Linked DNA regions of Oryctolagus cuniculus. Each later gene encodes a partner of the first gene's protein in a complex. Links are inferred from orthologs where the notes say so. Each region holds a gene or a part of one and is shown on either strand. Other genes may lie near its edges.

Region 1 (4,415 bases):
TTCTTTGGGCTGTATCTGTGACAGCTGGGGCGTGAGTGTGATGGGTTCTTATCTGCCACCCCTTCCGCCCGCCCCGCACCCCCCAGGACAATGCCCGGGTTTGTCCGCCATGGGCTGCAGCGCCCGGCCCAGGATGCGTTCCGAGCTGACGCAGCCTCCACTTTCCCGCAGCTCCCACGTGGGGGCTGGGACTCCAGAGAGCTCAGGTCAGCACTGGGTTTGCTAGGGCAGGTATTGGGGTGCGGTGGTTACGCCGCCGCTGGGGACGCCTGTGTCGCCCATCGGAGCACCTGCTTCCAGCCCCAGCTCTGCTCCCCGCTGATGTGCACCCTGGGGAGTGTGTGTGCGTGGGTCCCTGCCACCCCCTTGGGAGACCTGGGTGGAGTCTCCCTCTTGGCTTTGACCTGGCCCAACCTGGGCTGGGGGGGTTGGGGGGGAATGAACCAGTGGATGTAAGATCTCCGTCTTTCAAATAGAAATACTAAAAAGTAAAAATAAAGCGGCCAGCGCTGTGGCGCAGTGGGTTAATGCCCTGGCCTGAAGCGCCAGCATCCCATATGGGCGCGGGTTCTAGTCCTGGCTGCTCCTTTTCCAATCCAGCTCTCTGCTGTGGCCTGGGAAAGCAGTAGAAAATGGTCCAAGTGCTTGGGCCCCTGCACCCATGTGGGAGAGCCGGTTGGAGCTCCTGGCTCCTGGCTTCAGATCAGCGCAGCTCTGGCCGTTGCGGCCAATTGGGGAGTGAATCAGCAGATGGAAGACCTCTCTCTCTCTCTTTCGCTCTGCCTCTCCTCTCTCTGTGTAACTCTTTCAAATAAATAAAGAAATCTTTAATAAAAATAAAAAGAGTCTAGTTTGGGTTGTGTTTTCTAGATGATGAGGGGACCAGGCTATTTTTTAAAGGATTATTTGGAAGCCAAAACGACAGGGTGGGGGCAGGGGGAAGAGAGAGAGAGAGGGAGAGGGAGGGAGAGAGGTGTCTTCCTTCTGCTGGTTCACTCCAAATGCCCACTCCTGACGCAAGTCCACAAGAGCACCGAGTTCGGGAACTCTGGTTTGGCGGCCCCGGAGCGGGTCCAGCTGCAAAATGATGGGGAGACGGGAAGTGGAGAGAGGAGGAAAGGGGCAAAGTCAAGGACCTTGTAGCCAAAACGGCCCCGAGCAGGCCCCGGGGTGCTTCAGGCCTGTACCCCAGGGTCACTTCAAGCCCTGCACAGCAGGGGAGCCACACACGTCTTCCATAGAGCCAGCAAGGGGGGGGTCCCCGTGGGCAGGGGTCGCGGCTGCTTTGCTGCTACTGGGCGAAAGCAGCCAGTGCTCGGGCCTGTGTTTCAATAAAACTTTATTTACAAACACAGAATTTTCTTCCATCAAGCGGGGCCTGACAAACGCTTAGCCCCTGCTCTGCTCTGTCAGTCAGCAGCCAGGACCTCCAACTTCCAGAACTACACCTGCCCCAGGGCCCCGCCCACTCCTCGACGTCATCGGCCCCGCCCCGGGGAGGAGCCGCGCGTGCGCGACCGGGGACTCAGCGGAGGCGGGGCGGGCTTCGGCTCTGACTTCCAACATGGCGCACGCGGGTGGCGGCAGCGGCGTCGGGGGCTCCGCGGGCCGAGGGCTGAGCGGCGCCCGCTGGGGTCGCTCGGGCTCCGCGGGCCACGAGAAGCTGCCCGTGCATGTGAGTGGCACCCCCTGCCTGCCTTCGGGGACCCCCGTCGCGCGGCCCCCGCGGCCTGCGCCCCCTCACCCCGGCCCCACCCGGCCCCGCTTCGGCCTCCCCTCTGCGCAGCCCGGGACTCCGGACCCCAGACCGACCCCTCGGAGGCGCAGCCCGCTGCCCTTGCTGCCCGGGACCCCGCCGTCCCGTGCCTTGCCCGCCCCCGCGACCCCTGCCCACCGGGACCCTCCCCGTTCCCGCAGGTCGAGGACGCGCTGACTTACCTGGACCAGGTGAAGATCCGTTTCGGCAGCGACCCTGCTACCTACAACGGCTTCCTGGAGATCATGAAGGAGTTCAAAAGCCAGAGGTACCCGGGACCCCCCATCCCCATCCCACCCCCCGCCGCGGGCTGGAATCGGGCCAAGCAGACTGGGGGACCCGGCTCCCCGGGCCGCCTCCCAGCGGGGTGACCTTGCACAAGGGGTTCATCTCCCGGGGCTTCGACCCCTCCAAAAAAAACCCAAAAAAAATTGGGGAAGGAGTTGTAGCCACGATTGGGGGGGGGTGCGAGGTTGGGGTCTCTTATTTTAAAATGCTGGTTTTGAAAAGTTCAGTTTGGTCCTCATTGGCTCCCGCTAGCCCCGGGGCTGCTCAGAAGTAAGGGGTACCAAAGGCTTAGGGAGGGACCTGCCACGCGCCCAGACTGTTGGGAACGCTGTCTTGGTAAGCTGGAGGTAGAGGGGGCCCAGACCCTCAGGTGTGTACTGTTTTCTTATTTATTCGCGTGAGAGAGAGAGCGCATGCGCGCGAGAGCGAGCGTCCATCCGCTGGGTCACTCCCCAAATGGCTGCAGCAGCCAGGGCTGGGCCAGGCTGGAGCCAGGAGCCGGGAGCTCCATCCGGGTCTCCCACGTGGGTGCAGGGACCCCCAAGTCTTCCTTCGCTGCGCCGGGGTCTGGAGTGGGGCTGCCATGTGGGATGCGGGCGGCGCAGGCCGTGGCCCGTGGGTCCTGTCCCCGCGACTCGCGGAAACCCGGCTGGACAGGTTTCCTTTCTGGGCCGCTCCTGCGGGGGCCCGGCACGGGGGGGGGGGGGGGGCTCTGCCCTGGCGTTCTTCCCGCGCCTCCCATACTTTGTCGCAATCCCGTTGCTCTGATGGGAGCCTGTGTCACAATCCGGTACCGTGGGGTTGAGCACGTGGCGTCCCCAGCCAGGCGGCGGGCCCTTCTGCTGTTCACGGAGTGCGTGGCCAGCAGCGTCTGGGGGAGCTGAGCCCCGAGACCCCTCTCCCTGGTCGCCCGAGGGGCGGGTTTGCAGGGGAGCGGAGGCGCGGGGCTCTTCCCCGGCCCACCGGCCGCCGTGTCTGCCCCTCCCGCAGCATCGACACCCCCGGAGTCATCAGGCGCGTGTCGCAGCTCTTCCACGAGCACCCCGACCTCATCGTGGGGTTCAACGCCTTCCTGCCGCTGGGGTACAGGATCGACATCCCCAAGAATGGCAAGCTGAATGTGCAGTCGCCCCCGTCAGGCCAGGTACGCGCGGGAGGGCGGGGCAGGTGGGGCGGGGCGGGCGGGTGGGCGTGGCCTTGGCCTGCTGCTGCCCAGGCGCGGCTCCCAGCACGCGATCAGAGTAGGCGGGGCCACCTCCACGCGCGTCCCTGGGCTCCTGACTGGTCTGTGTGGAAGATCTCGGGGCGGCGCCCTGCCGACACGGAATCTCACGTCAGAGCCGGAAACGCCACGTGAAGCCGTGGCGTGCGGCTTTCCCAAGCGTGCCAGGCAGGCTCGAGGGTGTGTGTGTGCACGCGCGCGTGCAAGCAGCTTTGCTTCGTTTAATTGCTCCTGGGGCACTGGCTCAGCTCAGGCTTGTTGGCCACGGCTCCTTCTGTCTCGGGGTGACAGCTGCCCGGTCTCCCAGCCCCTGGGACGCAACGAAGGGCCGCCTAGCTGCAGGTGCGGGAGGTGACCGAGGGCTTTGCCTGCACCTCCTGCTGTTGCCACCTGCGGCATCCCTGCCCCGCCCCCTCCCCAGTACTCCCCGCTGGTGTGAGGGAGCCGGCTCCGCCTCCGCCTCCAGCCCATGCCCCGCCCCGTCAGCGAGGGGCAGGTCTGGAAGCACCGGGTGGAGGCTGCAGAGGGGCCGATGTGTCCGGGAATCAGGACCTGGGCAGAGAGCAGCTCGCGGGGACGTGCCCGGGGCCAGCCCCTCCCCGTGCGTGCACGGCGCACGTGTAAACCCGGCTTGCCCACACAGCAGCACCGCCCCCTCGCCACTGAGGACTGAGCCGCGGCCTGCGTCTCCATGGGGAGAGGCTTGGAGGCGGGGCCGGGGCTTCAGGCCGCCAGAGCCTTAGCGGGTTCAGCTCCCCAGTGCGGGGCAGCAGCGTCGCCCGTGTCTGCATGCTCTGTACACACCGGGGCATCCCGGATGTCCCCACCCTCGCCCGCTCACAGCGCTCACCACCCCTAACCCCCTAAGTGGGGGGGTCACCCCACTTCCCCGGGCCAGGTCTCGGCAGGAGCCGCACCGGGAGGGTTACTGGGAGTGGGTGCCTCCCGGCAGTAGTCCCAGGGCCCCGCTGTCCCCCAGGGCTGCTGTCCAGATGACGAGAGCGGGCACGATCCTGTCCCCTCCCCAGGGGGTGGAGGTGACCAGAGCGCCCCCAGGCTGTGAGGTCAGGACTTTGCCTTGTGTAGCTATGTGACGGGGCGCCTCTCGCTGCAGCCGGAAGCCGCTGAGCCGCCTCCTCTCTCACCTGG
Region 2 (3,645 bases), on another chromosome or scaffold:
CGCCTCCCAGGCCTCTCACCCTCCTCTCCTCTCCTCTCCTTCCGTTGCAGTGGCTCTGTAGTGTTGTTGCGCTCCAGTGCAGCATATTGAAACATTTATCTGCTAAGCAGATGCCTTCGCATTGGGACTCTGAACAGACAGAGAAGGCTGATATTAAGCCTGTTATTGTGACTGACAGCTCAATCACCACTTCCCTGCAAACAGCTGACAAGGCACCTACAGCTTCCCACTACCCCTTGTCCTGCCCCTCAGGGTTTAGCACCCAGAACTCCCTGAGCTGCTCTCCACCCCACCAGCCCCCAGCCCTAGAGGACATCAGCTGCAGTTCTTGTGCGGAAAAATCCAAGAAAGCCCCTTGTGGGACTGCCAACGGGCCAGTGAACACAGAGGTGAAAGCCAATGGCCCTCACCTCTACAGCAGCCCCACTGATTCCACGGACCCCCGGCGACTTCCAGGCGCCAACACCCCCCTACCAGGCCTCTCACACCGGCAAAGCTGGCCTCGACCCCTCACGCCACCAGCGGCTGGGGGGCTTCAGAACCACACCGTCGGCATCATTGTGAAGACAGAGAATGCCACTGGCCCCAGCTCTTGCCCCCAGAGGAGTTTGGTTCCTGTCCCAAGCCTGCCCCCTTCCATTCCCAGCTCTTGTGCCAGCATTGAGAACACCAGCACTTTGCAAAGAAAGACTGTCCAATCACAGATAGGACCTCCGTTGACAGACTCAAGGCCACTGGGCTCACCCCCAAATGCCACCCGGGTGCTCACTCCCCCCCAAGCAGCAGGAGATGGTATCATGGCCACAGGAGCCAACCAACGATTCTGCTCACCAGCGCCATCATCAGGTGAGTGCTACTCAGTCTGGGGTGATTTTACATTCTTCCTGGCAAGACCTAAGATTCCAAAAGCATTTATACTGCTGTGACTATGTCACATGAATTTTTTTTTAATACTGATTTACTTAAAAGGCAGAGCATCAGAGAGAGAGGGCAAGGCAGAGAGAGCTTCCATCTGCTGGTTCACTCCCTAAAGGGCCACAACAGCCAGCTCTGGACCAGGCCAAAACCAGGAGCCAGAAATTCCATCCAGGTTTCCCACATGGGTGGCAGGGGCCTAAATACTTGGGCCGTCCTCCACCATCTTTCCAGGTGCATTAACAGGAAGCTGAATCAGAAGCAAAGTAGCTGGAATTCATGGAATTCAAACTAGCACTCTGATATGGAATGCCAGCATCACAAGTGGTGGCTTAACCCTGTGTGCCACAATGCTGGCTCTCATCACGGGATTTTGATCTCTGTATTGTTTGTTCTCCCCCCCACAGCCATTTGTGTAATAGAAAAGGAAGCATATTGTCAACCTGTCCCCGTTTTTATAGGTGGGACTGCTTAGGCTCTGAAAGCTTACATGATTTCCTTAATGGTGCCCAGTGGCCGGATTAGAACTGCAACCTGAGTCTCCTGACTCCTTCCCCCACTTTCCAGGCCTAGACTTCTGGCTGTTTCGTTTTGTTCTATCACCTTCAAAAACAGCATCATGCTATCTGGAACCACTGTGGTCTAGGTAATGGCCTCAGTGTTTCATGTTTCACACAAGACTAGAGCCATGCCTGGTAGAGATTTTGAGCCAGCTCATTTGAGGAACTTCCATGTCAGGGAAACTGGGACAGAAAGTATCACAGTGTTTTAGAGTAGCTTCAGAGTGGGATGCCCGTGGAGGTTGGTCTGGCTCAGAAGCTTGCTCTCAGGCTCCATGCTAAAGGGCATTCCCTTAAGTCTATACTTGGCCCAGTATGGACCTGCTTGCTCAGCTGCCCCTAGTCAGCACTCAGGAGCCCAAGGTTGCTGACCCCAGCATCTGAACCAGGTTTCAGATGCTGCTGGAACCCCCTGTGGTCTCTCCTGTCCGAACTGAAGCCGGCCTCCTAGTCAGCTGGGAGTCTCGGTAACCAGGTGACTGTGATTTCCCTGCATGGGGGCCCCTGGTCCCAGGATGGCCCTGCTCCCAGGCTGTTTTTCTGTCTCGGTTTACCTTTTCATATCAGCCTGGATAGCTTCTGCACGCTCTGAGTCGTACTTCAGTAGGTAGGAATTACAGAGGAAAGTACAACTTCCTTTAGAGGCAGCAGGGTGGTGGTCATGGCCCAGAAAATGAAGCTGCCCCACCACTTTCCCAAAGCAGTAGATCACAGTGGCTCTCAGTGCTCTGGAGACTGCTGCGTTCCCTGGGTGCATTGTCATTCCGTTTGCCCTTCCTCACCACACGTTTTTAGCTCTAGGAGTTCCAGAACCTATGGGTTGAGAATCAAGAAGGGAACATCACCTTTGGTCCGAAATCCAGACCTGTCTCAGCAGTGGGGGATTGGATCAGTGGGTTTCCCTCAGGCTACGTAAGTAACAAGTCTTCCTGCTCCGTCCCCAGATGGCAAGGTCAGCCCCGGCACGTTATCCATAGGAAGCGCTTTAACCGTACCCTCTTTCCCAGCCAACTCTACTGCCATGGTGGACCTCACCAACTCACTTCGAGCATTTATGGATGTCAATGGAGGTGAGTGCGTGAGCTGCTTCTGTTCTACCAACTGCTGGGGTGCAGGGGCCTTCCTTGTCCGACATTTGGCTCATTTCAGAGACAGAGAAAAGAAACAATGCCTGATCTCAGGGGACTAAGGTGTGGAGGGTGTGGAGTGCCCCTTTGGGTAGAGAATTGGAGTAAAAAAGCTAGCTCTGCCTTCTACACATGCATGTACCTGTAAAGACAAGGGAAAACAAGGCTGAGCTGAACCAGTGAGCCAAGAACAAAGTGACTTCAGCAGATCACCTGGCCTTCAGAGCAAAACTGGGAGCTTCCTCCTCGAAGTCAAGGAGTCATCAACCCCCAGAGTCAAGGAGAAAAGGCACAGATCCTGACCTCTGTGAACAGAGGGTAGATAGAAACCCAAGTCTCAAAACCAGACAACCAGGCTGTCCCCGTAGGTAGGCAAGTGGTTTATTTTGCTCTGCCTTTTTAGGACCACTTCACCCAAAGTTACTCTGCCCAAATACCCACATGCACATGGCGAGCTGCCTGGCTCTGCTTCCTTGAACCCCTCTATACTCGATGCTGTTTGACTGGATTTCAAAAATGCTGAACTTTTTGCTCTGTGACCCTTAACTACTTCCACATTCCATTTCCACCTCAGCTGCTTTTTAATCTTTTTCTTTGATTAATAGAAATCGAGATAAATATGCTGGACGAGAAGCTGATCAAGTTTCTGGCCTTGCAGAGAATACATCAGCTTTTCCCCTCCCGGGTCCAAGCTTCACCAGGCAGTGTCGGGACACATCCACTGGCTTCCGGAGGGCACCACACAGAAGGTGCGCATGCACACACCACACAGCACCACTGCACCACCAGCTCTCCCCTCTGTGTGTACAGCCACTTTACTTCCATGGAGAATCTCAGCTTCCAGTATCTCGCATCTCCTTGTGTGCTTTTAAAGGGCTTAGTAAAGCACTATGGCTTTTTTATTCTCCCTCAGAGCAGGAGTGAGATGGCAACCACAGCTTTTTCTGTTCAGTCTTGGGGAAGACATTTGAGACACAGTGGAGCAGCTCCCAGTACCTTTGGATATATATGGTGTGCTTTCTGCTCAACTGCTTTCAAATATT

The links.
Region 2: the proteins of SIN3B (region 1) and PHF12 are in contact, whole or in part, in a cryo-EM structure (PDB 8BPA), measured with the Homo sapiens proteins. The link is inferred for Oryctolagus cuniculus from reciprocal best matches to the Homo sapiens genes SIN3B and PHF12. Residues at the interface, in NP_056075.1 of Homo sapiens: Glu307, Phe311, Leu318, Glu322, Val323, Tyr324, Glu325, Asn326, Leu328, Arg329, Cys330, Ile331, Leu333, Phe334, Asn335, Glu343, Leu347, Pro350, Phe351, Lys354, Phe365, Lys395, Arg396, Glu490, Glu493, Leu494, Val497, Tyr545, Arg546, Ile547; in NP_001028733.1 of Homo sapiens: Leu20, Met21, Gln23, Ile24, Gln25, Leu27, Leu28, Pro30, Pro31, Lys32, Thr33, Asn264, Leu266, Val267, Leu269, Val271, Val273, Phe275, Thr276, Asn278, Arg279, Ser280, Arg282, Cys292, Pro293, Leu294, Pro316, Asn317, His318, Ile319.

What each region holds. Positions count from the first base shown.
Region 1 is NC_091447.1:65,101,971-65,106,385, forward strand, and holds the start of SIN3B (paired amphipathic helix protein Sin3b), read left to right. Parts: upstream 1-1,517; 5' UTR 1,518-1,564; coding exon 1,565-1,675; intron 1,676-1,917; coding exon 1,918-2,024; intron 2,025-3,034; coding exon 3,035-3,188; intron 3,189-4,415.
Region 2 is NC_091448.1:44,391,352-44,394,996, reverse strand, and holds part of PHF12 (PHD finger protein 12), read left to right. Parts: intron 1-50; coding exon 51-846; intron 847-2,419; coding exon 2,420-2,545; intron 2,546-3,207; coding exon 3,208-3,351; intron 3,352-3,645.